Linked DNA regions of Caenorhabditis elegans. The protein of the gene in region 1 purifies or fractionates together with the protein of each later gene. This does not show direct contact. Each region holds a gene or a part of one and is shown in the gene's direction. Other genes may lie near its edges. The genes, in order: lmtr-5, mltn-1 and C25G4.8.

Region 1 (8,402 bases):
TTCTTATCCGAAAATGCGAGTTTTGGCCAAAAAATCGAAAAAAAAACTGAAAATAGTGTTTTTTCGCAAACTTCCTGCTAAAAATTCGGAAAAAAAACTGATTTTTACCCGAAAATTTCTTTAAAAATGCTAAAATCTGGGCTAATTATCTTTTACTATGATATCTTTTACTTTTTTACCTTTTACTCATCCATTTTATCGAAATTATCTTTTACTCATTTACTCATTTTTTTTCAAATTTATTTGTTTTATCTTTTACTCATCCATTTTGAAAAAAATTATCTTTTACTCATTTACTCATTTTTTCCATTTTTTGCTAAAAATCAGTTTTTCGGGTAAAAAAGTTGTCAGGAAGCCGATTTGGGACCTATATTTGGCCAAATTTCTTTAGTTAATGATAAGGTGATCGTTATCTATTAGATAAAGTACTCCGACCACCCATCCGGTCTTCACTAGTCATATATCTCGATATGTATATTCAGGCAAAATTATTGAGAAAACTGATGGAGTCCTTTCTGAAATGTCTTTAATTGATGGAATTAACAGTTTTTATCGCTCATCTACTCAAGTTTTCCAATTTTAATTTTTTATCTTTTACTCATCATTTTGAAAAAAAATTATCTTTTACTCATTTACTCATTTTTTTGAAATTTTACCAAAAAAAGAGTTTTTCGTGTAAAGAAATATTTTCAAGCCGATTTGGTTGATCAAACTGCTCAGTTAACGTTGGTTAGTGATGTTCTATAGATAAACTGTTGGAAAAAATTTTCCAACTTAAAAGTTGCCATTATATCATCAAAGATCCAGACAAGCAAGTTCAAGTGACTATGTGGAGTCTACCCACTCAAAAATTTTTTTTTTCAAAAATCAAAATTTTGAGAAAATTGATGAAGTTCTTCCTGAAATGCATATAATAGATGAAATTAACCGTCCTGAAAAAAATTTACTACACTTTAACTGGAATTTTAACCAAGTTTTTGCCGATTCAGTTACCCAACGTAGAATTTTGAGAACACAAGAGAACACAAACTTATATCAGATCATTTGAAGAAGTTCAAAAAAAATTCTGAATGGATCCGGATTCGAACCAGGATTGTTTCTACTGAAGAGCCCGCGCTTTACCACTTCACCAAACAGGTGAGAGGCGCCCTCGTTTCAAAGCTATATATGAAATCTGTTCCATCTTGAATTTGGTAACTCAAATTGACAACTCTTCATGATAACACGAAAGTATTCTATTCTGGAATGTTGTGCAACTATTCTTATCCACAGCTAACTTGTCCTAATTGATCTTATCCATAACGGGAATGTAGCTTATTTGATTTTGTAGTCTTAGAATGTGCCTGTATTCTTCAGTGAAACCCTCCCGGCGGCCTAAAATGTTTTTAAAACTATTATTTCCGAGTATATTTTTCTAAACTTCACTAGATAACAGTTTGGGAATTTCTGTGATTCATCGAAAAAGCCTTTTGCGAAAAAATCATCGTAGGCCTAAAAATTTTTCTCAAAAACACCTCGAGTCTTGTATTTTCGTGGAGATAATATGCTCAGTAATTTTTATAATTTTTTTTTTCATCAAAAGCCCTGTTTTCATGTTTAAAACGTCTTTTATTACTATTTTATTCCTTTCAAAAATCGAAATTAAAAATTGTTCGGAGTACGGTAGACCTCGGTGTTTGCGTACTTTTGCGTACGGTGCATTTTATTTGACGACAATTTTATTTTTGAAAGGAATAAAACCGCAAAAAAAGACGTTTTAAGCTCGAAAACAGGGCTTTTGATGAAAAAAAAAATTTTTGAGTGGGTAGACTCCACATAGTCACTTGAACTCGCTTGTCTGGATCTTCGATGATATAATGGCAACTTTTAAGTTGGAAAATTTTTTCCAACAGTTTATCTATAGAACATCACTAACCAACGTTAACTGAGCAGTTTGATCAACCAAATCGGCTTGAAAATATTTCTTTACACGAAAAACTCTTTTTTTGGTAAAATTTCAAAAAAATGAGTAAATGAGTAAAAGATAATTTTTTTTCAAAATGATGAGTAAAAGATAAAAAATTAAAATTGGAAAACTTGAGTAGATGAGCGATAAAAACTGTTAATTCCATCAATTAAAGACATTTCAGAAAGGACTCCATCAGTTTTCTCAATAATTTTGCCTGAATATACATATCGAGATATATGACTAGTGAAGACCGGATGGGTGGTCGGAGTACTTTATCTAATAGATAACGATCACCTTATCATTAACTAAAGAAATTTGGCCAAATATAGGTCCCAAATCGGCTTCCTGACAACTTTTTTACCCGAAAAACTGATTTTTAGCAAAAAATGGAAAAAATGAGTAAATGAGTAAAAGATAATTTTTTTCAAAATGGATGAGTAAAAGATAAAACAAATAAATTTGAAAAAAAATGAGTAAATGAGTAAAAGATAATTTCGATAAAATGGATGAGTAAAAGATAAAAAAGTAAAAGATATCATAGTAAAAGATAATTAGCCTAAAATCTGATATTTCATGCTCCAAAAAAATGGAAATTTTTCAAAAATTGAGGTTTTCGGTCCGAATATTGCCGAAAAAAGTGCAAAAAATTTAAAAAAATCGATTTTTTTTTTCAGATTCTGCTCACCATCTTGGCAAATAGGACACTGGATGCTGCTCTTGGATTTAAATTTTTTTTTCTTGTAATTTTCTTCTTTTCTTTTAGATTTTCTATATATATATATATATACCCATTTTGTTCTCTTCTCTGAATGTTTTTCCCCTTCAATTTATCGATTTTTTCGATTTTTCCAACCAAAAATCGACCAAAAAGTGTCTTAAATCATATCAAAAAGCTCAACTTCGCTTCGTTTTTTCTTGTTTTTTTTAACTTTTCTAGAATTTTCACCTGAAATACGAGTTTTCCCACCTCTAAAACCCCCTGTCGCCTTATTTTATACCAAAAATTCAAAAAATTTGAGGCAGAAAGCGCGCTCCACTGGTAATTTTCGCGGAAATGCGATAATTATCACTGGAGCGCACATGCTCTTTGAATTTTTATTGATTTTTTTCCGACCGAAAATGTGATTTTTCTGTGGTTTTTTTTTGTGCTCCCCCCCCCCAGCCGACTAAAATTGAAATTATTTTCTTCGTGTATAGCTAAATAATATATATATTTATTTATTGATTGGTGTTTTTTTTCTCTGTGAAAAATGAGTTTTTTTGTGAAATTTCCGGGTTTTTTTTTTGGTGGTTGTGGTGATGGTTTTCATGCCAATTATTGTATTCTATAAATTTCCTGGAATTTTGAATTTTCTTTTTTTCGCTAAAAATCTTGAAATAGTGAAGTTTTTCAGCAGAAATGGAGTCGAAATTGGAGCAAAACGTCACAGCGATGTAAGAGAGCAGGAAATTTGAAAAACATTCTATTTTTTGTTACAAAATTCGCTAAAATCTCGAAATTTTGATTAAAAATCGTTTAATTTTTGAAAATAGCTTAAAATTTCTAATAATATCGACATTTTTTTTTATAAAGAAAGTGTTAAAAATCCAATTTTTCAAAGAAAAAAACTGGATTTTTACTGAAATTTTACGAAAATCCAAAATTTTTCTAATTTTCCCTCAAAAATTGAGAAAAAAAAACGACTGAATACTCTGAAAAATAGCGTTTTTCGTGAAAATTTCAAATTTTCTTCTAAAAAACCCAAAAAATTTCAAATTTTCTTGCAGGATGTCAAGCACCGGAGCATCGGGAATTACAGTCGCCGACTCGGAAGGTGTCAGGCTTCATTCGGCTGGAAAGATTACTGTACGCACAAAAAAATCAATTTTTTTCGGAAAATTGCAATTTAAAAGCGAATTTTTATATAAGATTTCGAAAAAAAACAGCAAAAAAATCAATTTTTCTAATTGAAATTTCGAAAAAAAATTCGATTTCCCCACCAAAATTGAAAAAAACCTTTAAAAATCGATTTTTCACCAAAAAAATTGCAAAATTAATCGAAATTTCAAAAAAAAAAAAAAAAAAAATTAAAAATCCATTTTTTCTTAGCCAAATTCAAAAAAATCGATTTTCTGATAAAAATTCTCTAATTTTTCAAAAAAAATCAATATTTTCTTCAGGATATGGCAAATGTTGGCTCATTGATGATCGCCGATGCGAAGAATATGTTCCCAAAAGGTACAAGAAATAAGAAGAATAGTTATCCAATTGTCACATTACACTCATCGGACGGATCAAAGACTACGGTGGCCAATAAGCATGGAGAAACTGTCTCAATTCATTTTCAGAAATAAATTACGTCGGAAAATCTGGAAAATTCACGAAATTTCACTCTAAATCGCCTGTTTTTACCTGAAAATCTCTTTTTTTGATCATTTTTCCTGAAAATTTCACCAATTTTTCTCAAAATTACCTTTTTTAGCGGAAATTGGAAAAATACAGAATTTTTTAAAAATCTAAAAAAAAATCGGAATATTTCATATTTTTTTAAATCAAAAATCTGACATTTTCAGAAATTTTTGTTCGAAAATCTAAAAATTTTGAACGTTTTATTCAAAAATCAACAAATTTCATATTATCTGCTTCAAAAACCTGAAATTTCCGGATTTTCTTACAAAAAATCAGTTTTTTTTTCAAATTTTTTGTCAGAAAATCTGAAAATCTTCTGAAAACCCTGATTTTTTTTTGTATTTTCTTTGACTTTTTTCAATTTTCCCCCATTTTCCCACTTTTCACCCCACTGAATCCCATAAAAATCCCCGTTTCATGACATTTTCCACCACAATTTTGTATGTAAATATACTAGATTCCCGCCAATTTGATATGTGATCACATTCCCCCCTATATTCCTCTCTTTTTCTCATTGAGTTATCACTGTTTCAGTGCTTAAATAAATGTTTTACCAAAAAAAGTTGAATTCTCCGTAAAATTTCCATCATTTTGACGCTAGTTTTGGGATATTTACAAAAAAAAAATCATTTTTTGCCCCAAAAATCCATAATTTCTCGGAAAATATTGATTTTCCATGGTGTTTTGTATGAAAATTGAGTTTTTCCATTAAATATCCGTTAATTTGACACCCATATCGATTTTTCAAAAAATCGGATTTTTGGCCTAGTGGTTAACACGGATGGCTGAGACACACAAGACCGGGGTTCGATTCCCCACTGAGGTTAATATTTTTATTTAGTGTCTTTTTTTTTGTATGCACTTTGAAAATACGGAAATATACAGAATTTATACTTTTTTTAAAAAATATTATTAGCCCAACTGTTTTAAAACCACTTTTAGCATGATTTCTCAGAAAAATACCGATTTGAAAGATTTTTCTTGTGAGAATTCGGATTCTCCGTAAAATTTCCGTCAATTTGACACCCATATCGATTTTTCAAAAAATCGGATTTTTGGCCTAGTGGATAACACGGATGGCTGAGACACACAAGACCGGGGTTCGAGTCCTCGCTGTGGCTATTATTTGTATTTAGTGTCTTTTTTTTGTATGCACTTTGAAAATACGGAAATATACAGAATTTAAAGTTTTAAAAAAATATTTTTTGGCGAAACTGTTTTAAACCCATCCTTAGCATGATTTCTCAGAAAAATACCGATTTTAAAGACTTTTCTTGAGAGAATTCGGATTCTCCGTAAAATTTCCGTCAATTTGACACCCATATCAAATTTTCAAAAAATCGTTTTTTTTTTTTGGTCTAGTGGCTAACACGGAAGGCTGAGACTCACAAGACCGGGGTTCGAGTCTCCGCTGTGGTCAATAGTTTTTATTTGGTGTGTTTTGTATAGGACACGCTTTCAAAAACCGGAAAAATACCACAATTTAGGACTTTTGGATTTTTTCTGGCATAATTAATTTTTACAAATGTTTTGCCTAATTTCTCGGAAAGTATTGATTTTTCATGGTTTTTTGTATGAAAATTCTGTTTTTAAATCAAATTTACCTCAAATTTGACACCAATTTCCAGCAAAAAAATTTTAACCTATGGCCTAATGGATAACACGGATGGCTGAGACACACAAGACCGGGGTTCGAGTCCCCGCTGTGGCTAATATTTTTATTTAACGTTTTTTGTGTTCAGCGACATTTTTTGAGTTAAAATATGACCAATTCTTCATAAATGCCTAATTTCGGGCGGTTTTTCTTGTTGAAAATTTCGAGAAAAGTTTAGAATTTTAAAAAATTGTATTTATTTATTTATTATTTTTAAAATCTTTTGTATTTTCTTCGAATGGACGTGCTTTTTCTTTCTCTTACCCGGTCTCATTTCCCTATGCCCCCCCCCCCGTCACCATAGGAACCCTCCTCCGGAGGGCGAGGTGGGCTCGCGGAGCACACCCCTAGTAGAACATCAATATGTCCCGTTTATCAAGTACTTTCGGTTTTGCCGGATCTGTGGATCGATTATCTATCAGGTAAACTTTAAAAATCTGAGATATCTGAAATTCTCAAATTATCAGAATATAATAATTTTGAAAACTCTTTTCTTTTTTTTTGAAAAATAATTTTTTAATTCTCAAAAAGGGAGCGTCAAATTAACGAAAAATACAAGGTAAATCAAATTTTCAAAAACGAAGCTGCTTAAAAATCGATATTAAAAAAAATTTATTTTTGAACTTTTAACAAATGAAACAAAAAAAACTATTTGCCACAGCGGGGGCTCGAACCCCGGCGTTGTGGGTCTCAGCCACCCCTGTTAACCACTAGGCCAAAAATCCAACTTATCTCAAATTTCGAATTTCAGGGTCCAACTCTTCCAAAAAGGCATTCAATCTCTCGATTTTGACCGTTTTAATCAGGATAACAATGTGATCGATGAGAGACCATCAAAAAGTCGTCTTGATGACGTCACTTTCAAGTGGAAACAAAAAGTTGGACGAGCTGAGAATAGGTAATGATTAAATGTTTTAAAGTGTAAAAATAGTTTTAAAAAATCGAATGTTTTTTTCCAGCAATCGTCGAATTTTCACACTTCGAGATGGGGATGAATTCCCAGATTATTTGAGTAGATTCAAGCCAACAGAGGTTTCAGAGCCAGCTGAAAATAAAAAGGAATCGGAGTTAGTTTTATTTTCGAAGAAAAAGTTTTTTAAAAAAATATCAAATATTTCCAGATACCCCCACAATGACTACATAGTCTATCGAAAATCTGCCGCATCTCGCCCAACAATCAAAAAAAGCTATCTATACATTTTCGCCCGTCTGGGCCCAATGGACATTGAGTAAGTAGGAGTTTTTCTTATTAAAAAAGGTAATTGCACTTAAAAATTGAGATTACTCGTAATTTTTGCGATTTTAAATGTTTTCAACAAGTGCCCCATACTAAAAAAAACAGAACAAAAATTATTGAACGGAGTGGGGGCTCGAACCCCGGTCTCGTGAGTCCCAGCCATCCGTGTTAGCCACTAGGCTAAAAATTCAAATTTTTGAAAAGTCGATATGGGTGTCAAATTAACGGAAATTGCATGAAAAACTTAAGTTTTCATGTTAAAATTTTTGAAAAGTAATAGTTTTTGAGAAAGTCAAATAACAAACTCGAAATGGAAAGCTTCTCGAAAAAAAATCGAAAAACACCAAAAACAGTGCTTTTTTAGTTTCTTTCAAGTATTTTAACATGAAGATGAGAACATACAAAAACTACTGACCGCAATGGGGGCTCGAACCCCGGTCTCGTGAGTCCCAGCCATCCGTGTTAGCCACTAGGCTAAAAATTCAAATTTTTGAAAAGTCGATATGGGTGTCAAATTAACGGAAATTGCATGAAAAACTTAAGTTTTCATGTTAAAATTCTTGAAAAGTAATAGTTTTTGAGAAAGTCAAATAACAAACTCGAAATGGAAAGCTTCTCGAAAAAAAATCGAAAAACACCAAAAACAGTGCTTTTTTAGTTTCTTTCAAGTATTTTAACATGAAGATGAGAACATACAAAAACTACTGACCGCAATGGGGGCTCGAACCCCGGTCTCGTGAGTCCCAGCCATCCGTGTTAGCCACTAGGCCAAAAACCCATTTTTTTGAAAAATTTCAAAAACTGCACAATATCAAATTTCATGTATTCTTGAAGTTTTTATATTTCCAGGGACCCTTCCGCCGTCGAATTGATTTCCAGAATTACTGTAACCGATACGAATCGTCTGACCGTGGAACCTGCAATCAATCAGGCAGACGATGAGGGAATAGTGTTGGAGACCAAATTTGGAGATTATACAGTAAAAATTCAAATTGATGACGTGGAAAATGAGAAATCGACAGAAGATCAGCTGGTGGATAATAAGATCGGGAGAAGCAGGAAGGCAAGAGCAAGTGTGGTGAGTTGTCGGGAAAATTGGGAAAATATTAGTTTTCAGGGAATTTAATTGAAAAATTCGAGTTTTACGCAAATTTTCCGTCAATTTGACACCCAT
Region 2 (12,241 bases), on another chromosome or scaffold:
ATTTGCATACTTTTCATAATAGATGTAGGAACATTCATAGGATGCGTGCAATTTTGCCGCTTGAAATTGAAGTTCTGAAATTTTCAAGAAAAAAATTGCAAAACCACAATTTGCCGAAAATTTGCCGTTTTTTTCCGCAATTGCCGTTTTTTCCGGCAAATTCGGCAAATCGGCAATTTGCCCGCTTGTCGATTTTCCAAAATTTTCAATTTCGGTAATTTGCCAATTTCCCAGAATTTTTTAATTCCGGTAATTGGCCGATTTGCCAAAAACATAAATTCCGGCAATTTGCCGATTTGTGGATTTGCCAAAAATTTCAATTCCAGGAATTCGCCGATTTTTTTCACGCTATCAAAAATTATTCCCGATTCCTAATCACAATTACCATATTTTCCAAACCATCCACATTTCAAATGGATCCGTCAAAAAGTTTTGAACTTAAAGCTGGTCGGCATCTCAGATTAACTGTTTGATTTGATGAGAAATCAAAACATATCCACCTCTTAATCCGAATGGAAACATTTTGATAGGCAAACGAGAGAGGGAAAGTGATAAGCATTTATCAACACACGTACACCGACCTTATTCCCTTCTCTCTTTGCAATCATGATACATTTATATCTGCATAGAGAACTATCACATTTCGGAAAACTGTTCTTTGCTCAACCGGATTTCCATCTACTTTTTAGTCCTTCTAGTTCACATTGATGTTTGTTTTCAGTTTCGATTTCTGAATATTTCATATACATAGTTCCGGTCAACAAACAAGTTCGAAAAGATACGGTATGGATACGGCTATTGGTGATGGGCGGCGGGATAGGATAAAGTTGCAAGATTAGTAGGTCATACGGTAGGTACAATGACTACAAATCACGGAATTTGTGGATAATTGGAGAATGTTTCAAAGTAGGGTAGGACGTTTTTGAGCATCTAAAAAAACTGGAATGTAGCCGTAATAAGTACCTCTAACTACAAGAAATATGGGATCAATACACCGAAAATTTTCGAATTTTACTTATATGTTAATAATACAGAAATCTCAGATTTTTAGGTCCAAAAAAAACCGACAATTTTTGCCGAAAATTTCATTTCCGGCAATTTGTCGATTTGGCGAAAATTTTCAATTCTGTTACGTTGCCGGAAACTTTCATAATTGCGGAATTGTCGTTTGCCGGATATCATATTTGGCGGAAATATTTAGAGGACTTTTTTTTTTGAAATTTTCAGCAACTTGCCGGTTTGTCAATTTGGCGAAAGTTTCAATTCCGGCAATTGGTCGATTTTGCGAAAATTTACAATTCTGTCACGTTGCCGGAAATTTTCATAATTGCCGAATTGTCGTTTGCCAGATATCAGATTTACCGGAAATGTTTAGAGGATTTATTGAAAATTTTCGGCATTTTGCCGGTTTCACGATTTGTCGGAAATTTTCAATTCCGGCAGATTGCTGATTTGCCGAAAATTTCGATACGGGCAATTTGCCAATTTGCCGGAAAAATCGTTTTCCCACCCCTGTGTTGTATCTCGGATGATTTTGAAAATATCAGTATAATATTTATTAAAAAAATGTAGAGATAAGTGAAGCATCTTGGAAAATTTATCTAAATTAGATCGACCCAGGAAACTTGTCTAATTGGCCGGGATTCGAAAAAACTGAATTACCGTATAAAACATACTCCATCTTTTCCGAAAGTCTGCCCTATTTATTTATTCCAGTCGGAGAAAAAGGCATGGTGGGAAACTCAAATTTTCTAAATTCTAGAACTTTCTAAAAAATCTGAAATTTTCTAGAATTTACAATAAATTTTTATAATTTTAAAGAACATTGTTTCAAAAATGGTAAATAGAAATTTATTCTCTGAAATGAGAAATTTTGATAAATTAACAGTACACAAAATTTTTGGGAGTCGAAAATAAGTTCAAATCAATCGTTTTATTCTCGCATTTTTTTTTAAATATAATAAAGCCGTACTAATTTAAAATTTGATTTTAAAAATAAACACGATTTTTTTACTACGAAATGAGCTACAAAAATCAAAGACAATTGAAGATTTCACAATTTTTTAAGATGAAAAAAATATTGAAAAATGTTAAATTCCGAAGATAAGAAATCAAACTTTTTTCTTTTGTAAAAAATATATTTGTTAAATTTTCGGCAAATTTATTTTCCGGCAAATTCGGCAAATCGGCAAATTTTCGGTTTGCCGATTTGCCGGAAGTTTTCATTTTCGGCGATTTGCCGATTTGCCGTTGCCGGCTCAAAATTTGGCGGAAGGTTTTAGGCGGATTTTTTAAAGGACGGAAACACTTAAGACTGTGCATTTTGAATTTTTTTTTCCGTTTTCTGTAGATATTTTCATAGAATTTGCTTACTTTTCAAAATAGATGTAGGAACATTCATGAGAAATTAAAGTGCACACAAGAGACAGCTATACTTTAAAAGCCGAAAAAGAAATGTAAGTCATTGATTGTTCAATTGCCGTTCGGCAAATTTTTTGTCGACAAATTCGGCAAATTGGCAAATTGCCGATTTGCCGGAAACTTTTATTTTTGGCAATTTGTCGATTTGCCGATTTATCGGATATTCTCAATTCCTGCAATTTGCCGATTTGCCGGAAATTTTGATTTTCTGCAACTTGCTGATTTGCCGGAAACGTTCATTTTCGGCTAATTATCGATTTGCCGGAAACTTTCATTTTCGGCAAATTACCGATTTGCCAATTTGCCGGAAATTTTAATTTTCGGCAAGTTTCCGGTTTGTCGATTTTCCGGAAATTTTCATTTTCGGCAGTTTGCCGATTTTCCGAATTGCCGGAAATTTACCGATTTGCCGGTTTGCCGTTTGCCAAACATCAATTTGCCGGAAATTTTTAGAGGGAGTTTTTAGAAGACAGAAACACTTGAAACTGTGCCTTTTTGAAATTTTTTCCCGTTTTTTCTAAATATTTTCATAGAATTTGCTTATTTTCGAAAAAGATGCTGGAACATTCATAGAATGCGTACATTTTTGCCGATTAAAATTGAAATTCTAAAGCTTAAAAAAATTGAAAAACCACAATTCGGCGAAAATTTTCGAAAATCTCCGTTTTTCCGGCAAATTCGGCAAATCGGCAAATTACCGGATTGCCAACAAAAATTTCAATTCCAACGATTTACCGGTTTGCCGATTTGCCGGAAGTTTCAATTCCGACGATTTGCCAAAAAATTTTTAATTCCGGCAATTTGCCGATTTGCAGGTTTGCCCAAAATTTAAATTCCGGCAAGTTGCCGATTTGTCAAAATGCTAAATTTCTGCAATTTGCCGATTTGCCGATTTGCCGGAAAAAATCGTTTGTAGTTTGCCGCCCAGCCTAGTTTACCGGTACACTGTGTGCATAAATCGTAATCAAATATAGGGATCCTATTGGATATCACTCGAGAAAACTGAATTACCGTATAAAACTTCTAATCCTTCCAAATCCGAAGAACCTGAGAAGTTGTCAAACACACATACAGGGAACAAATAGTTTTTCGCATTTTCAAAGATAAAAACCAAAACTTGAATCCTTTTTGACCGCCCCCCCCCCCTTCAAACTAGCATCATTGAAACAATGCGCATTCCACGTGATATGAACACACACATACACACTTCAATCTTTATCATCAAAATCGTGAAAATCAGGATCAAAATGTGGCCACCTGTTATGCTATAGATCTTGGTTCAACGGGATCATCTCCCATCCTTTGAGAACATCTTCTCTCCTCGTCACGGGAAGGCACCGCCCAGCAAGTGATAACCACGTTTTGGAAAAACTTTCGGGATGAATCCGAAAACTCCGCCCTCTTTACATCCAGAAATCCATAAAATCACAGGGAATCCCTTTTCTCTGGTCTCTGGTTTACCACATTATGATCCTATTCCCTATTATTTTATTTCTAACACTTCTACCGTATCCATGCACCTGCTTAAAAGTTAAATCGGAAGTAGATGTGACAAAATATGGGTTGACGCAAAAAGAAATCTTGAAATCTCCACATTATAAAGACAAAGTTTTCAATGTTCCCATGTCGACAGAGTCTGGAGAAGAGCTCTTGGAGCATTGGGCGGTTCAAGGATTTTCCGGAGTTGTCGCAGCGATTGCTACAAGAAGGTGAGATCAGACTTTGTTATTTTAGACCTAAAATGGTCTAAAGCTACCGAATTTTGTGATGAGACGTTCTGAAAATTTTTCAAAAAAAAGTTATGGCCGCTCAAAGTTTTGGAAAAAATGATCTTTTTTTTTAGCTAAAATCTCAAATTTTGGCAACTTTTCGCGGCAATTTTCGACCGGCAATTCTACAAAATGAGACAGTTGGGCATGTTCCCCATAAATTTTTCATTAAAATTTAATGATACAATATAGAAAAATATTTGCTTTATTTGAAAATAACTGTTATTTTAGTAGAAAAATCTCCAAAAATAGTCTGAATGTTGACAATTGCCGGTTAAAATTGCCGAAAAAGTGGCGGCAATTTTCACCGGTAATTTTCAATATTCGGACAATTTTTGAACACTTTCTCGGTTGTTCCAAGTCAAATAAAAGTTATCTTCAAATAAAGTAAATATTTGTCTATATTATATCATGAAAATTTAATGAAAAATATTGTGGGAACATGTCCAACCATCTCATTTTGTAGAATTGCCGGCTGGCAATTGCCGCGCACTCTGAAAAGTTGCCGAAATTTGAGATTTTAGCTAGAAATTGACCATTTTTGCCTAAACTTTGAGCGGCCATAACTTTTTAAAAAATAAATTTTCAGAACGTCTCATTACAAAATTTGGTAGTTTTGGACCATGTTAGATCTAAAAATGGCAATTTCTCAAATTTCGTTACTTAACATTTAAGAAAATACGCATTTAATGCCACGAGCAATTTGTTAAATTTGTTAAATATATTAATATTTCAGACTAGCCCTTGTTGAAGACTACCAAAAAAAGAGCCATGAGAAATGCTCATCCGAGGCTGAAACTCTTTCGGAGCACGCAAGTTGCTTGCTCAAGCTAGAAGACGACGCACATAGAAATCGATTGGTTCATAGGAGAAAGCTCTTCAGCAGAAGTGAGCATTTTAATTTTACGTAGTTTAAAAGGTAAACATTTCTAGTTGACTTGAGAATTTCTGAAGAAATTTTCCCAATTTTGCCCAAATTTTGCCCAATTAGTCGGCTTGCTGTACGAGCTGACAGCCAAAAAAAAAAATCAGCTAGCCGTTCAGCCCTGATCCCCACTGTACTGAACATATTCCAGAGATGCGTCGCCGAATCGATAAGATGGTTACCAACACTACAATGACTCCAATAACTGAAAAAGAGATTCGGGAAGATAAAGAATGGATTGGGTCATTCAAGTTTCGGGCAAAACGAGAAATTAGAGTGCACACCAGAGATAGCTATACTTTAAAAGCCGAAAAAGAAATGTAAGTGGTTGAGTGTTGGCGGCAAAAATTGTTTATTGACAAAAAAAATTGGCAAATCGGATTGCCGGTTTTCGGCGAATTATCGATTTTCCGGAAACTTTCATTTTCGGCAAATTACCGATTTGCCAATTTGCAGGAAATTTTAATTTTCGGCAAATTTCCGGGTTGCTGATTTTCCGGAAATTTTGATTTTCGGCAAATTGCCGATTTGTCGGAAATTTTGATTTTCGGCTATTTGCTGATTTGTCAGAAATTCTCAATTCCGGCAATTTATCGATTTGCCGAATCGCCGGTTTGCCGGTTTGCCAAATTGCCAGACGTTTTTAAAGATAATTTTTATAAGACGGAAACACTTAAAATTGTGCCTTTTTGAAATTTTTCCCGTTTTCTTTAGATATTTTTATAGAATTTGCTTATTTTTTTCAAAACAGATGTAGGAACATTCATCGAATGCGTACCATTTTGTCGACAAAATTTGAAATTCTGAAATTTCCAAAAAAGTACAAAACCACAATCCACTATTTGTCGACAGTTTTCGGCAATTGCCATTGTCCGACAAACTCGGCGAATCGACAATTTGCCGGTTTGCCGGTTTTTCGGAAGTTTTCAATTCCGGCAATTTTTTAATTTGCCAATTTGCCGGAAGTTTTCAATTCCGACAATTTGCCGATTTGCCGATTTAAACAATTTGTTTGCTGCCATAAAATATGTATAAACCGTAATCTGTTCTAGGACACCATTCGGCCTGGTAACGAGACATCTCTCTAGCGCTGTGAAACTTCTCAAAAAGACGGACAAGGTGTCAAAGTGGCAAGATACTATCGAACGAATCACCAAGAAAGCCGAAGAAATCAAAGAGCAAAAGAAAATGGAGGATTTTATGCAAAAGAGAATGTCGATTTATGCAGATGCAGCTGAAAAGATGAAGCAGAATAAGAAGATTGCGAAGGATGATAGTTTAAAGGAGTTCAACGATTTGGAGCAATTTATAGACAATGATCAGATTAAGGAGGTGTTGAGGAATAGGAAGAATAAAATGACGGAACAGGAAAAGTTGATGATGATTCCGATGAAAATGATGAGAGATGGTTAGTAATGTGAAAATTTTTAATTTGGCCAAAAGATATATTTTTACAAAACGAAACCTTCTAATTATAATAAATAAAAAACAGCCGCCAAGATGGGATTGGAAATGTCGGGTCACAATACAACAGATTTCGATCGGAAAATTGTCAGAATTATCAGTCCACGTCTTATGAGTGTGATTCCACAAGAAGAAGCTGCAAAGAATAATGAGGTAAGGGACAGGCGTGTGCGGCAAATTTGGCAAATTTGCCGAAGTTGCCGAACCCTAACGATTTCGGCACCCGGCAATTTTCGGACTAGCCGAATTTCAAAAGTTTCGGTCGGCCAAATCAATTTTGGCGACCGGTAGTGGCCAAAATTGCCGCTTGCCGAAAAATTCCAAAACCGGCAATTTTCAAGTTTGCCGAACCATAACAATTTCGGCAACGGGCAATTGCCAAAAATTTTCAAAACCGGCTATTGCCGAAATTGTCGATTGCCGAAAAATTCCAAAACCGGCAATTTCCAAAATTGCCGATTGCAGGAAATTTCGAAAACAAGCAAATCTCGATAGAAAACAAAAATTTCCAAAACCAGCAAATCTCGAAAAAAATGCCCAAAACCGGCAGTTTCTGAAATTGCCGATTGCCGGAAATTTTCAAAACCGGCAATTTCCGAAATTGCCGATTGCCGGGAAATTTCCAAAACCGACAATTTCCAAAATTGCGGATTGCCGAAAATTTCTAAAACCGACAATTGCCGAGAGTTTCCAAAACCGGAAATTTCCGAAGTTGCCGATTCCAGGGGCGGCAAATCACGAAATTTGCCGAGCTCGGTCAGTTTGGCAAATTCGGCATATTTGCCGGACACAATGTTCGAAATTTACAGATTGATCTCCTCTCTCCTTCACTATTTGCTCTACACGAGGATGGCTCTGGAGTAGAAAAGAAAGCATCACTCGGAAACATCCTAGGATCTCTCACCGATAACAAAGACTCTCAGGATTTCTTGGATTTTATTGTGGAAGCAACTGGTGTCAATGAAGCGATGGAACGGGTTGAAAGAAAAATCGGAGAGTATCGAAGACTCAAAGACGATGCGATGGGAAGAGGGCCTGAAGGTCAACCGTTGTACTTCACAAAAGAAAATGTAACAGAAAAATATCCGCATGAGGCGAGGAAAATCGAAATGTTCGAGTCTTTGGATAAAACTTATACCGATGAGCAGCTCAAGGAGATGAACAGAACAGGCTATACTATTATGAGACATGATCAGATGGATTTGATCTACGGGAAGGGATCAGTGGGGGAAAATGAGAAGTTCTTGAAATTGGCAAAATCAATGAGCAGACCACAAATCGATAGAGCTATTATGGGAACAATCAAGGACTTGGCACATGAGAAAGTCAAATTTGAGGCAAAGAGAAATGATATTATTTTATCACCGATCACATTTAGTAACTTCATTTTGGATCCAGTGGTGAGTTAACTGGCCTGTGCGCAGGGGTGCATGACAATTGCAGACCGGCAGTTCTACAAAATTAGACGGTTGGGCATGTTCCAACAATATTTTTCATTAAATTTTTTATTTTTTTTTCATTAAAGATACAATATAAAAAATATTTGCTTTACTTGAAAATAATTTTCACTAGACTTTTAAATAGCGAGAAAGTGTTCAAAAATAGTCTGAATGTGGAAAATTGCCGTCAATTTTTCGGCAATTTTCACCGGAAATTTTCAACATTCAGACTATTTTTGAAGATCTTTCTACTAAACTAACAGTAATTTTTAAATGAAGCAAATATTTTTTATATTCTATCATTAAATTTCAATGAAAAATTTATGGGGAGCCTGGCCAACCGTCTCATTTTGTAGAATTGCCGGTCGACAATTGCTGTGCCGGTCGACAATTGCTGACTGTGCAGCAAACATACAAAACGGCTTCAATATTTTCAATATGATAATCCAATTTTTTAAATCTAAAATAGGTATAGAAGTGTAGAAAAATGTTTGTTCTATCTGAAAATAATATTTATGTTTGTTGAAAAGTTTGAAAAAATTTTCAAATAGTCCCTGGAAGTTATCGTTTGCCGAAATACTTTTAACGGCATTTTTTTCAGCAAACGGCAACTTTCTGGCACAACTTGAGGCTTTTTAAGAGATTTTTCAACAAATATAAATGTTATTTTCAGATGGAACGAATTTTGTTTAATATATAGAAACATGTTTGTATATTCTGAAAAGAATTTTACTTTTCAGTGAAAGTTTTGAAAAATTGCTCGAAGACTATCTTAGTTTCGTAATGTGCCGATCAGGGCTATCTGAAAATTTGCAGAGCTCGGCAAACTCGGCAAATTCGGCAAATTTGCCGTTCTTCGCAAACTCGGAAAATTTTGATTTTTAAATATTTTTTGGAGCACCAAAATTACTGTTATTCATAGAAAAATTTTGAATAGTGTAATATTGCCATTATCAGTGGCTCTGTCTCAATTTTCTCAAAAATCGAACGCTCTTACTTGAAAATCTGGAAAATTTATTCAAAATTTTCCAACAAAAAATCTCCCATATTGCAGGCTGTCTCCCAACCGGCAATCCTGTCTCCTGTCATGCTGTCATCACTGATCCTCTCTCCAGCTGTCTACGGAGTAATGATCCTTTCCCCATGGCTATTGGTACCTGTCATTCTTTCCCCGCGTCTTCTATCACCAGTAGCTGTGAATCCGTTCCTGCTGGTTCCGATCATTCTATCACCTCTAGCCTTTAACCCATTCATCCTGTGCCCAGGATCCATGAATCCATTCGTACTTTCCCCGCTCATCTTCGCCCCATTCATTCTCTCCCCACAAGTACTGACTCCACTGATCTTGACTCCGTTCTGTCTCGGACCAATTATTCTGAACCCACTGGCGTTGAGTCCCCTAGTTCTGTCCCCATTCGTCTTGTCCCCGACAATCCTCTCTCCTCAGTATGTGACTGCTGTCGTGCTTTCTCCATATGCTCTGAGCCCCGCGTGGGGATCCGATGGAGCTATGGTCACCGTGTTTGCCTCTCCAAGTTGGCTTTCATAACATATATATATATATATATATATATACTTCACTTGTGAATTTATGGGTCATATATCTAACTTCTCAATCTACAACTATTACATGTACAATTTAATAATTGATTATTTTTAATAATAATAAAAATATAATAATTTTTATTTTGACTTACACTAAAACAAATCCAGACAAGATAGTCTAAAGAAAATATTTTTTAAGCTGTTCGAAAACTGGTATGAGAGTGGATAAAGATTAGTTTTCTGAGCGTCTAACAAATTAACAAATTACATCAAGATACATTAAGTGCTCCTCTCAAGCAAGGAGTGTTCGGCAAGTTAGCCAAATTTGCCATTTGCAGACCTCGGCAAATTTTGAAATTTGCCGCACAGATTTATCTTGCAGCATTAGGCAAAAATCGAGCGAAAACCAGTGAACTTAGTTTTTTTTGCATAATTTTTTACACTTTTTGAGCTCCAAAAAATATTGCCATATTACTAAGAGTACGGTAAAGTTGCCGAATAGTTCTGCTTTTCCAACCGACAAAACTGCCGATTCGCCAAATTTGCCGGAAAAACTGCAATTTGCCGAAAGTTTCCGGCAAATTGTGGGTTTGCACTTTTTTTTTGGAAATTTCAGAATTTCACATCCTATGAATGTGCCTACATTTATTTTGAAAAGTATGCAAATTCCATGAAAATATTTAGAAAAAACGGAAAAAAATTCAGAATTTTTTCCGCAGTTTTAATTGTTTCCGCGTCTGATAAAAAAATCTCTCTAAACATTTCCGGCAAACGGCAAATCGGCAATTTTCCAAAAATAAAATTTTTCGGCAAATCGGCAAACCGGCAATTTGCCGATTTGCCGAACGGCAATTGCCGCTCATCCCTGTCTCTCACTGAAAAAGTGCCCATCTACAAAATATTGGCAATTCACTAAAAATTTGGCAACTTGCCAAAAATTGCCATTTCACTAAAAAATAGGCAAGTTGCCAAAAATTGCCATTTCACTATAAATTTGGCAATTTGCCAACAATTAGCACTTCACTAAAAATTTGACAATTTACGAAAAATCGGCAATTTATTTAACTATTGCCAATTAAAAAAAATTGGTTCACTGAAAAATGGAAATTCACTAGAAATTTGGCAATTTGCAACAATTGGCACTTCACTAAAAAATTGGCAATTTGCCAAAAATTGCCATTTCACTAAAAATTTGCCAATTTACGAAATACTGGCTATTCACTAAAAATGGAAATTCACTAGAAATTTGGCAATTTGCCAACAATTGGCACTTCACAAAAAATTGCCAATTTCTGAAAAACTGGCATTTCACTAAAAACTGGCATTTCACTAAAAACTGGCAATTCACTAAAAATCTGACAATTTGCCAAAAATTGCCATTTCACTAAAAATTTGGCAATTTGCCAAAGATTGCCATTTCACTAAAAATTTGCCAATTTACGAAAAACTGGCAATTCACTAAAAAATGGCAATTTGCCAAAGATTGTCATTTCACTGAAAAGTTGGCAATTTGCCAAAGATTGTCATTTCACTGAAAAGTTGGCAATTTGCCAAAAATTGCCATTTCACTAAAAAATCGGCAAGTTGCCAAAAATTGCCATTTCACTAAAAATTTGCCAATTTACGAAATACTGGCTATTCACTAAAAATGGAAATTTACTAGAAATTCGGCAAGTTGCCAAAAATTGCTATTTCACTAAAAATTCGGCAAGTTGCCAAAAATTGCCATTTCACTATAAATTTGGCAATTTGCCAACAATTGGCACTTCACTTAAAACTTTGACAATTTAGCAAAGTCCTCCATCTTCCCTTTTTTTCTTTATTAATTTTTTCTCTAGAGGTCTCTAGATGTTGTAATGTTCTTTTTGTTTCTTGGCAAAGTGCCAAACTGCATAAATTCCCGCATTTGTTTTTGACTAAATCATAATAGGAGAGAGACCGACTCCAAGTGTGTTGAGAGAGAACAAATTTTTTTGTCTTTTTCACTCATTTTTCGCCGTTTTTTTTCTCTCTTTTCTCATCCTCAAGTTTATTGTACTCTACCGGCTGCTTTAAATTTAAATTTCGTGTTTTTCAGATCGCAAAAAAATGAGCGACTCAGACAGTGTCGGAGAATCAAGCCATCCGAAGAAGACCGCACCAAAGAAGGAGAAGGCGTCACCGAAGAACAAGAAAGATGATGGTTGGTTAATTTGTAGAGTTTCTTGATTCTAATTTGCTTCTTTTCAGCCAACGAGTCGATGGTTATGACTGAAGAGGACCGCAATGTGTTCACGTCGATCGACAAAAAAGGTGGTGGCTCGAAACAAATGGCGATCGTGGATATCTACCAAAAGAAGTCCCAACTCGAGCACATCCTCCTGCGTCCGGACAGCTACATCGGCTCAATCGAGCACACCGAGAAGAAGCCGATGTGGGTCTACAACATGGAGGACAGCAAGCTGGAGCAGCGTGACATCTCATACGTGCCGGGACTATTCAAGATTTATGACGAAATCCTTGTAAATGCGGCTGACAACAAACAGAGAGATCGGAAGATGAACACGATAAGAGTTACCATCAACAAGTAAGTTTAGAGCGTAGCACAAAATGAATTTAAATTGATTTTACCTTCTTTCAGGGCGAAAAACGAGATCTCTGTATACAACAACGGAAAAGGAATTCCTGTCACTCAGCAC
Region 3 (10,545 bases), on another chromosome or scaffold:
AAACTTTGGAAGCTCATATCTCATTTGACATAGGTTTTATCAAAAAATTATCAACGAACAATTTTTTGATAATTGCTTTCTCTATAAATCGTTGTCAGTAATTTTAATAAATGTTGAAAATAAACTGTCAAAATGAAGTGAGAAAGGGGTGCAAGACTAATAGAGGAAGTACGAGATTTTGAACAGCTGATCAAGATTGAGAGATTATAGCTGGAAAGATGATAACAAGTAAACGAGAATTTGGTGATCAGGTCACACAGAAAATTTGACAAATCACCTTGAGAATCTGTCTCGGGTGTCTTTTGAATGTTTGGACAAGTAGACGACGACAAAAAAAAGTGACATACTTTTTGAAACGGGTGCTGGTGTTGGAAAACAGGAGAGAATGGGATGGAGAGGGAAGAAAAGAAATAATGAATGAATGAACAAAATACGAAATTTCGAATTTAACGAAGAAAGGAACATTGGAATATGAACATTGGAAAGTTAATGAAAAACATACGGTCAACTTTGACTGCATTGGTCAACTTTGACTGCTCTTATTTCGGTTGCCTTTTGATTTATCAAAACATTTGTCAACTAGCAAAATAGAGTTTATTCATTTTTCTATAGTTTTGTAGTTCAACATTTATTAGTAAAATGAAAATGAATTTAGATATAAGCAGTCAACGTTAAGAGTGCTGCTAATAGAGAAGATACGGTTATTTTTTGGAAACTGGATTTTAATTTTCTTGTTATAATCACGTTTCAAAATGTAAAAAATTTAATCATCAATTTGAAAATAGTTTTTATTTCAAATTGAAAAGTTTGGAATGAATTTCATTTAATTTCAAATTTCAAAAAAAATAGATAATATTCTAGATTTTTAAGCTCCTCTTCTAATTTTTGAACTAAAAAAAATTATAACTTTTTTAGCATCCCGTAATAAGGAATTTTTCAGAAACACTGAAAAATTTATGTTCACAATTGCCGCCAAAAGACCAAATAGAATCTACTTATAAGCTATTTATAAGCTATTTATAATTTGGGTGCAAGACTAATAAAAGAATCAAGGTAATTTTGGGAATATTGTGCACCAGTTTGCTTAAAATTGAAACACTATTAAACAGCACGGCTAAAAATTATAAAAGCACATGAGGGAAAGAAAAAACATGCGTAGCTGTTTGTCAGAGACAAGCCGTTTCAAAGTATCAAGTTCGTTCGAGGAATCACATACGACAAGAATACGGGAATTTAGTTGGAATCTATTGATGTGAAAACGGGAAACAAATGCTTTCAGAACGATAGAAATTTTGATTTTAAAGTGGACGGGCTACAAGGACTCGCCGCTTTCCGGTATACACGCAACCAAGCATAAGAGACTAGATGTGCTAGAAAACAAGAGAAGTGACCAAAGGTTTTGTTGGTGATAGAGTGACAAGAGCGAGTGTCTCGTGTTTTTACCACAATTGGGGGAAATGGCTCTCGCTCTTCGTGTCTGTGTTGCTCCGCGCAGCTCTCTCGTTCTGTGCTTATTTGTTGTTTTGAGCAACAGCAGCAGCAGTGAGCAAAAAACTTGAAAGTAGAACGGGAAGAGAGTGTCCGTTTGTCTGGTGGTGCCAAGCAGATGCGCAGACAACGTTCTTTTCTTTCTCTGCGTCTTTTCGCCGAATTTCATGTGCTTTTTCCCTCTCGGAACTGATTCAGGTTAAACATAATTCGCATTGTTAGAATTTTCGTTTGATATTTAGAAAGTGTTTTTTGATGGGCTGTCACATGAAATATATTGCAAAAAAACGTTTGAGAAAATTATTTTTGGGTAATTTGGAACTATTGGATTCACGGAGCGTCATCGTTAGCTGGAATTATAAGCTTGAAGGTGGAATATTGTCAGTGGGGATTTAGTCTGAACTTAATGTGTTCTAAAATGACTTAATGATAAAACACGTCAAAAATTTGTAGATTTTTGAACTTTTTCAGTACAAGTTTTGGAAACTATAAACTTTTACAAATGAGGATTTTTGGTTAACTAAAATTAAAAAAAATCAACTTTATGAAGTTGGCCTAACGGGGAATACTCACTTGTTAGACTAAAATTTATATTTTGTTAAGCACTAAATGTTTTCTTTGAAACGACTACATACCATTCACAATAGTAAATTGTAAATATATTATAGTAAATTGGAAAATAAAGCATTTTTAAGTTTGAAGTTGGGCTGGCAAACATAACGTCCGGCTTGTCAAATGTAATGTTCGAGTATTCATTTTACATTCCAGGCTCTACTCATGTTGAAAGCATAGTTTCAAAGTATTGTAACATCGTAATTGTAAAATTTCTTGAAAATCGTCTGTAACAACTCCAACAGGAACCAGGTGGTCCGAATCCGGAAACCAAACGTCAGGTTTAGTTTGATGTAACAGCCTGGATCGACAAATTGCTCGTTTCTTATAACTAACATTTGGAAAAAATAGCAACACAACAAAACACCAATAGACTCTGGAACTGAAATCAAAAAGCAAAAATGGTACAATGTCCGGTTCTCTATCTTGTAACTATAAACTAATTTAATTTTTTTCAAAAATCAGAAGAAGCGATTCAGACAAAATTTTTATTCGAGCTAGACGTTGCGATTTTTGACATCTTGCTGGCACATCACTTGAACCCATGCTTCTGCTCGTTTTCTTCTTGGCAGCTTTGGCTGGCGATTCAAAAGACGATTGATCCAAGATTTCTGACGAAATATGAACAAGACTAACGAGAATTGGACCTTTTATACTGAATTGATAAGGCCATAAAAAACTAGGACAAAAGGTCGTGTCACGTGATCACTTTTTTTGAAATCGAAAACTAAGTATTTTAACAAAAAAATATATTTCTTTTTTTGTTTCAAAATTTGAATGAAAGTTTGTTTATAGGGTTGTTTAGATTTGTTTCAATAACATGTTACCTGCCAATAGGTGAATCTTTTTGCGATGCACCATGTTTTTATCTGCTTAGATACAGACACCGAGAACAATGCAAAAACTAGGCGTAATATGGCCTTTATTATCGGAGTTTTTGTTATTATTTAAAAAAAAAGAAGTTAATATACTTTGCCTTACAAATAATTCCACGTAAATAAAAATAAATAAAAATTCCAGCACATTCTTCCAACACAATTTATTCCTATTTATATTGCAAGAAAAAGCTGTTCAAAATGAAAGCGATGCATATGGAGCAAAGTAAGTTGTTTGTAAGGGCTCAGAGTTGCGTGGTACATTCCATGAGAACTAGACTCTTCTGGGTCGCTAAAACATAGGCAAGGCTCCTGTCCATGTGGAGTACACGAACTGATTACCGATAGAGCTCAACTGTAGACGCATTTAGTCCGAATTTTTCAGAAATCTACAAGGCTAAATTTTCAGAGTATCAACTAGCGGACAATTTTATCAATTTCAATTATCTACTCAAATTTAAACTGGGTCCAGAAGATGTTCGAGCAAAAGGAGCATTTTCCACGATTTTTGAAAGCACTATGCTCGATTGGTTAGTGCTTTTTCAGAAATATTTTTTAATTTTATGAGTTTTAGGGATCTTCAACTCCACAAACAATTTGCTGGACACATCCTTCACTCGCGTGAATCTAATTGGGTAATCTCGCTGAATGGATCAGGAGTCCGTGATTCATACCCACCACTTCACAAACTATACTTTAAAGTGAAAGCGATGGGTTCCGATGGAAGTATTAAGAAGAGTCTCAAGTACTTTATCGATGGACTTCCAATTGCTCCGGCTGAACGAAGAGGTCGAATGGATCATAGATCTTATACAACTCTACAGAATACCCAATTCGAAAGAGATTTATCGACGTTGATAGCTGAAGCAAAGAAGAAAGCGCAGACGATTCAATTGGAAACTCGGTTGGAGTTTAAGAAAAATGATTTGGTGGATATGAAGTATTTGTTGGGAAATGGTGCACCGAATATGCCAGATTCATTGGATTATTATTTCGATGCAATCACTAATAAGTTAGTTTTTAAAAATTTTTGTTGCAAGATTTCCTAGCCTTCCTACAGTGCGCCCAACTTCTATAGCGCCCCCTATTTTTTCTCATTTCACCACCTTCTGACATTTTTTACAAAAACTGCTAATGCCATTCGATTCCAAATGTCGAAAAACCCCCTGTCCAAAATTTTCATCAAAAAATTCAATAGACTGAGGAGACTAGGTCAAAAAGTCTCTAAAACGACCGCCCAACTTCTATAGCGCCCCCTCGAATTTTTGATTTTTTCTAATAAAATCCCCTTTTTTTGGCTTTTTCTAAGAACAACTTATTCATGACTTAAGTTCAAACTGATCCAGACATCTTGCAAATCAATTTTCAGAAGAAATTTATCCGTGGAAAATCATAGGATCTCTAAAATTGTCCTGAAACGCCTAATTTTATGTTAGAGGGCGTTGCGCGGCGCCCAATACTTGAATCAGCACCAGAATCAACTAAGATGATCTACAACATCTATTTCATCGGTCTGCAATTTTTTTAAAGATTTGCAACTCTTATTTTTATTATACTACTAGTACGAGATAGCACTACTGGCCTTCGCGCATTCACCATCCTCTAGAAATCAAAAAACACAACAGATTTTATTAACTTAGATAAAGTTCAATATTTCGTAGGACCTCCATTCTTGGCGATGACCTCAAAGATTCGATTAGGCATCGAATTGACCAGATTTTTCATCTCTGTAGCTGATATGGCGTTCCATGAATCCTCAATTCCGACTTTAAGAGCAGCAACATTCGGATATTGTTTTCCATTAGCGTACACGAGTCTCACGAGGGAAGCCCACATATTTTCGATCGGATTGAGGTCCGGTGAACAAGCTGGTCATTTAAGGAGTTTAATTTTCTTGCTGCTGAGAAAGGCACGAGTTGAATTGGCTGAATGAATACTGGCGTTGTTCTGTTGGAACTGCCAGTTTTTTTTCGACGGGTGTCTCAAAAACTTCACTAAATCCTTTTCCAAGACTTGCTGATAATCTACAGCAGTCATTTTATGACTTGTAAATTGGATGGGGAGCTTCTTCTTTTCCGAAAAAGCGGCCCAGCGAAAAAGCGGCAAAGCGGCGATGCAGCCTTCACAATGTTGCGTTCCTCACGACTCGATAAAACTTTGCATCTGGGAGCTCTTTTGGTTTGACCATAAGAAAGTGGATTATTGAGGTAGTTGTAGACACATTTACGAGAGCGATTGATTTGGCGAGCCATTTCATTTGTAGAAATATTAAGATTCGCCATCACATCTAGCTTGGATCGTTCATCTCTTGTTAGCTGAGGTCCTCGTGGCATTTCGAACAAAATTGATAATAAACACTACGTTTTCTTGAGCATTCGTATGCCACAAAATGACACGTAAGACGTGAAAAAAAATTTCAGACCGATGAAATAGATGTTGTAGATCATCTTAGTTGATTCTGGTGCTGATTCAAGTATTGGGCGCCGCGCAACGCCCTCTAACATAAAATTAGGCGTTTCAGGACAATTTTAGAGATCCTATGAATTTCCACGGATAAATTTCTTTTGAAAATTGATTTGCAAGATGTCTGGATCAGTTTGAACTTAAGTCATGAATAAGTTGTTCTTAGAAAAAGCCAAAAAAAGGGGATTTTATTAGAAAAAATAAAAAATTCGAGGGGGCGCTATAGAAGTTGGGCGGTCGTTTTAGAGACTTTTTGACCTAGTCTCCTCACTATCAGTCTATTGAATTTTTTGATGAAAATTTTGGACAGGGGGTTTTTCGACATTTGGAATCGAATGGCATTAGCAGTTTTTTGTAAAAAATGTCAGCAGGTGGTGAAATGAGAAAAAATAGGGGGGCGTTATAGAAGTTGGGCGCACTGTATTTCCCAACATATGACCAAATTAATTCCAGATCTCGTCATGATTTGAAGCTGAAGACATCCGATGGCATGCACTTTGTGATGACGAATAAGGAAATTGTCTGTCTGGCATCTCAATTCTTCCGTCAGCATTTGAAGGACACAACTACCGAGTACACAGTTGGAAGAGCTGATTCTGTGCAGAGCATTGACATTGTACGGTGAAGATTCAATAGGGGAGGCTGTAAACGACGCGGTGGCAGAGTTTTCAAATTTCGTTGAGACTTAGCAGATGGCTACAGCAATTTTCTATGTAGAATTCTGCCCGTTCAATGAAATTTTCAGTGTCTCACCTACATGATCACTGGTATCTACAAAAAACCTGCTCTACTTTCTCCAAAACTCGCTTTCGAGATATTTGCTTTGGCTATGCAATGGAAGGTTTTCGAGCCAAAAGTTCTAAAAAACTCGATCGAAAAGCATTGCTGTGAGGAGTTGCAGAAGGTGAGAGCCTGTTCTTGCTCCATCGAGCTTATAGTATGAATTTTCAGAACTATGAAGATATCATGTACGTGTGCAATATGCTTATCATCGCCGATGACGCTCAATTTGCAAACGTTCAAAACTGCTGCATCGCCACTCTTGTCTTCTATCACGCCCACGACTTCATTCGGATTTTCGTTATTGGGGTTGGTGGTGTTTGAAGCCCCCAACACCTGCCGGGTTCTTGTCGGAGCCCGGCAGATGTCTGACGCAGAGGATCATGATGCACTAATAATAGATAATTTCAGAATCACCCACTGAAAGAACGATTCTCCCGACGTCAAGAGTTCCTGAGGCCATCACTGACGATGCAAGTGAAGAGAGCATTTGCTGCGTCGAATGAGTCAAAGTGTTTCATCAAGTTCCTTCCGGCCATCGGAGAAGATTAACTTTGAATAAAGGGTTTTATTGGGAACTTTTTTGCCACATTTATTCCTTTTAAACTTCAATAAAGTTCTAGTGGTCGACACTTCTCGGGCTCGTTTTTCCAATAAAACAATTTCTTTGGTCCAAATTCCTTGGTTCGAAAATTTAAAAATTGTTTTTCGCCGAAAATTTATACAGAAACTGAAAATGAAAAAACAATTCTGCATTTTTTTGAAGAAAACTTGAAACAAACATCAAAATCAGCTAGATAATTTACTTGTCTTTGTTCAAATTTATGGCGAATCGAGATTGCTGGAAAACATTTGATTTGTCTAGAAAATGCTAAGACTAGTGTTATCACTGTGTGGAAACAAACGAAAAACAAAAGAAGTCCATGTTTTGCCTCTTTTGGGACTTGTGAACTGGAGATTGGATGGCAATGAGAAAAATTGTTTGAAAACTGAAAGAATTAGAAGAGGCGGAGCCAAATGACATTTGAATGTTGGGAATATTATTTGCAAGCCGCTAACTGTTCTACACCATTAAAGGTAGAGTGGCGCCAAGAGGGAAATTTTAAAAACCACACCCAAAATTATGCCAAAATGACCGAATATCATAATAAAATTTTCGAGAAATTTTTTGAAAATTTTTTATTTACTGTCAAAAAGTGACAATTACTCAGTTTTTGCCACTCATAATTTTGGAGGTCGACCAAAAAAAATTTTTCCTACATTTGTATACTGTAATTTTGTTTTAATTATTCGTATTAAAACATTGTAAGGGTTGGCACCTGCGACATTGGTTTGGATTTCTTCAAAACCTCATATCTTTCAAAATTTTGGCAATGTTCCAAAACTTCTACTGGAAATTATGAAAAAACTAAACATTTTTGGAGTGTTTTTTATGATATTTGGTTGTTTTGGATCTTTATATGTGTATTTAAACAAAATCCCCCACTGGCGATACTCTACCTTTAAACATTGAAATAAACGTTGACAGAAAGATTTTCAAAATTTTAAAGTTTATGTAAAGTTTATGTGGGTGTGTTGGAACTTTATCAGTTACAACACTTTTTTCATCGCCGGGTGAGTAGCGGGCTATTAGTAGAAAAAGAGAAATCGAGAAGCTGCCGACAACTGGCAAGTAGGTAGCCGGTCGAAAACAAAACGCCGGAACTGTAGAAGAATGTGGAAGAGAGAGTGACGTCACAATTAGACTAGAATCATTGGAAACATTCAAATACAAAATATTTATTCACATCACAAGTAAAAGTTCAGCTGTTATCCTTGATTGGCAATAACCACCGGCGGCACTTTTCTCATGAAACTTCTCACGTTGAGACTCTTCACGTAACGATCATTAAGGCGTTTCTGGAAATGAAATACTTTGAGTCTTGTCACAAATTCTAAAAATTGATACCATAAGACTGAAGCGCTTCCCTTGACCCTGTTGAACGAACGCAGGGTCCGGCCATAAAATAATGTGTAGAAAAATTAGGCAAACATGTGGAATTCTTTGCTGTGATAACTTACATTTTGTTGGATGTCCCTGCAAAGATCCGCAAAATGAAAACTGATAATAGTGGCGTTGCAGGCTTCGAGAAGACGTCCGAGATAATTAGTGTGAGCCATAAAGAGCAACTTCTCCACATAATCCAAGTCCTCACAGTTCTGCAAAAACAACAGTGTTACAGGTCTCATGAGGTACTGTAACTTGCCTTAATCAGCTCCTCAAAGCAGTGACTTTCAATCGACCCGATGAGCTGTCTCTGTTTGTGTTTACGTGTCACAATCTTCCAGGTAACAACCTTAAGAATTTTCGTCACAGAATAAGAGAAATAATAAGAACCAACCACTTCAATAGCTTCCAAGAATTGTACCTCCAGTGGAAAACTGGTTATGGAACTTGTGAGATGGTTGCGAAAATATGGAGAAGCCACGTATAGAGCTTCTTTATTGCACGGGAATCCTTGTTGAGTAGTGGTGGTGAGAAGGAAGTTGTGAGTCTTTCTGGAATGCGATTGACTTAGGCTTCATATGAAATCTTACAAAAATACTCACTGATTCATCAACAGATAATATTTGAAATCCAATTCGACTGGCATCGGTTTTCCAACAAATCGATTGAAGTATTTCAGGCTCAAAAAGTTGTTGATATCAAATACGATAACAGTGAGAATTTCCAATTTGTATTTCTTGAATTGCCGATTTCCGATCACCTCGCACAAAAAGTCTCGAATCACGCCACGTTCCGGTGTAATGCAGTCGAAATCGTCACGGTCCGTGATGTCAGGCTCATAGGTGAATTTTACAGGTGGCAGGATGTCTGTAAAAGCAATTGGGAAACTATTTCAAAAGCGCACTATTATCTCCATCAGAATTGTCAACCAATCTTAACTTGAACTCCACTTTCTGCACAGGAAGAGGATGTTGTCCGGCTGGATAAAGACTGATTCGAAAAACCTTCTCGACGACCGGTTCTTCAGGGTTTTGGGGATGTTCTTGAAGTATTTGGGATACCGATATTTCGATATCCCTGGAATCGAAATGAATTTTTACTGCTTCTTTGCTGACAAAGTGAATAGACGTTAGACATGAGGTAGGCACTTGGGGAGACTGGGGGAGTGAAACTAAATTTCAGTTCCCACATATCTCCATCTCCCCTTTTCTCTATCCCCTAGAACTGTGAGATCACCTACCAATTAATCAGCGAGTACTGATGGACCGTGGTAAAACGTTTCGGCTTCATATGCTCAACCTTGGTGGTCGTAATTTGAAAAGAGTGAATAAATGTGATTGTATCAAGGGATTCTTGAACACTTTCTGAAAAAAAGTTTCAAAAATTTCATTAAAAAGCGTTCAAAACTAACCAGGTTTGCTCATGATTTGAGGCACGAAAGTTGGAAGAAATATTGTAAATAGCTAGGAATAATCGAGAAAATCACGATAAGCACTAGAATGTTTTTTGAAAACGTGAGATCATCACGTTTTTTTATTCAAAAGTTGAATGAAAGTTTGTTAATAAGATAATTTAGATTAGTTGCAATGGCATGTTACCTGCCAGTAGGTGAATCTTTGCACGATGCACCATGTATTTATCTGTCAAGACACAGACACCAAATTTGGCGCAGAAATGCAGAAACTAGGCATAGGAAGGCCTTTAACATTGCTGATTTTATTATGGGTTCAAGAAGTTAATATAAATTGTTTTTTCAACAAAAAAATGTCAAAAAAAAACAATTTATTACCATTTATTTTGCAATCAAAAGCTTCTCAAAATGAAAGCGTTGAAGGTGGAGCAAAGCAAGTTGTTTGCGAGAGGCTCAGTGTTGTGGGTACTTCCTATGCCATCAAAAGTTATGGCTTTTCAACTCTTGTTAAGGCTACGGTAAGCCAGAACTAGACTTTCTTCTGGGCCACTAAAACATGGTCAGGGCTTTTGGTAAACGAGGAACACGTGGAGTAAACGAGCTGATATTAATAGAGACTTGCTGTAACCACATTCTGCCTTTTTCAGAAATTCAAACAACTTTCAAACAAAAATCGTCTGCAATACGGTAGTATTTTGACCACTCCTGCCTAAAAGGAGCCATTTTGTGGGCGTTTCACATACCCAAAAAACTATCTGTATTCGAACATATAAAACAAAATAAATCAGCAGAAGCGATTCAAACAAAATTTTTATTCGAGCTAGACGTTGCGATTTCTGGCATCTTGCTGGCACATCACTTGACCTTGCGAAGAGCTTTTCCCTCATGATCATGCCCGATTTCATGTGTTTGAGTTTGCTCGACAATTG

What was found.
Region 2: the proteins of lmtr-5 (region 1) and mltn-1 fractionate together in Caenorhabditis elegans (co-fractionation; one large-scale study listed by BioGRID). This does not show direct contact.
Region 3: the proteins of lmtr-5 (region 1) and C25G4.8 fractionate together in Caenorhabditis elegans (co-fractionation; one large-scale study listed by BioGRID). This does not show direct contact.

What each region holds. Positions count from the first base shown.
Region 1 is NC_003281.10:3,180,346-3,188,747, forward strand, and holds lmtr-5 (Late endosomal/lysosomal adaptor and MAPK and MTOR activator 5), read left to right. Parts: upstream 1-3,331; 5' UTR 3,332-3,347; coding exon 3,348-3,382; intron 3,383-3,715; coding exon 3,716-3,794; intron 3,795-4,108; coding exon 4,109-4,282; 3' UTR 4,283-4,896; downstream 4,897-8,402. Other genes in the region: R148.3 (DUF4476 domain-containing protein), read left to right, coding at 2,623-2,648; mks-1 (MecKel-Gruber Syndrome (MKS) homolog), read left to right, coding at 6,355-6,413, 6,743-6,889, 6,951-7,058, 7,113-7,220, 8,078-8,306.
Region 2 is NC_003280.10:13,136,805-13,149,045, reverse strand, and holds mltn-1 (MLt-TeN (mlt-10) related), read left to right. Parts: upstream 1-3,820; 5' UTR 3,821-3,888; coding exon 3,889-4,130; intron 4,131-4,926; coding exon 4,927-5,078; intron 5,079-5,266; coding exon 5,267-5,435; intron 5,436-6,167; coding exon 6,168-6,523; intron 6,524-6,607; coding exon 6,608-6,732; intron 6,733-7,388; coding exon 7,389-7,979; intron 7,980-9,072; coding exon 9,073-9,567; 3' UTR 9,568-9,702; downstream 9,703-12,241.
Region 3 is NC_003282.8:12,456,044-12,466,588, reverse strand, and holds C25G4.8 (BTB domain-containing protein), read left to right. Parts: upstream 1-3,118; 5' UTR 3,119-3,176; coding exon 3,177-3,201; intron 3,202-3,384; coding exon 3,385-3,505; intron 3,506-3,549; coding exon 3,550-3,987; intron 3,988-5,891; coding exon 5,892-6,054; intron 6,055-6,183; coding exon 6,184-6,342; intron 6,343-6,389; coding exon 6,390-6,527; intron 6,528-6,629; coding exon 6,630-6,770; 3' UTR 6,771-6,850; downstream 6,851-10,545. Other genes in the region: C25G4.7 (uncharacterized protein), read right to left, coding at 9,442-9,569, 9,617-9,629; smz-1 (PDZ domain-containing protein), read right to left, coding at 10,472-10,545.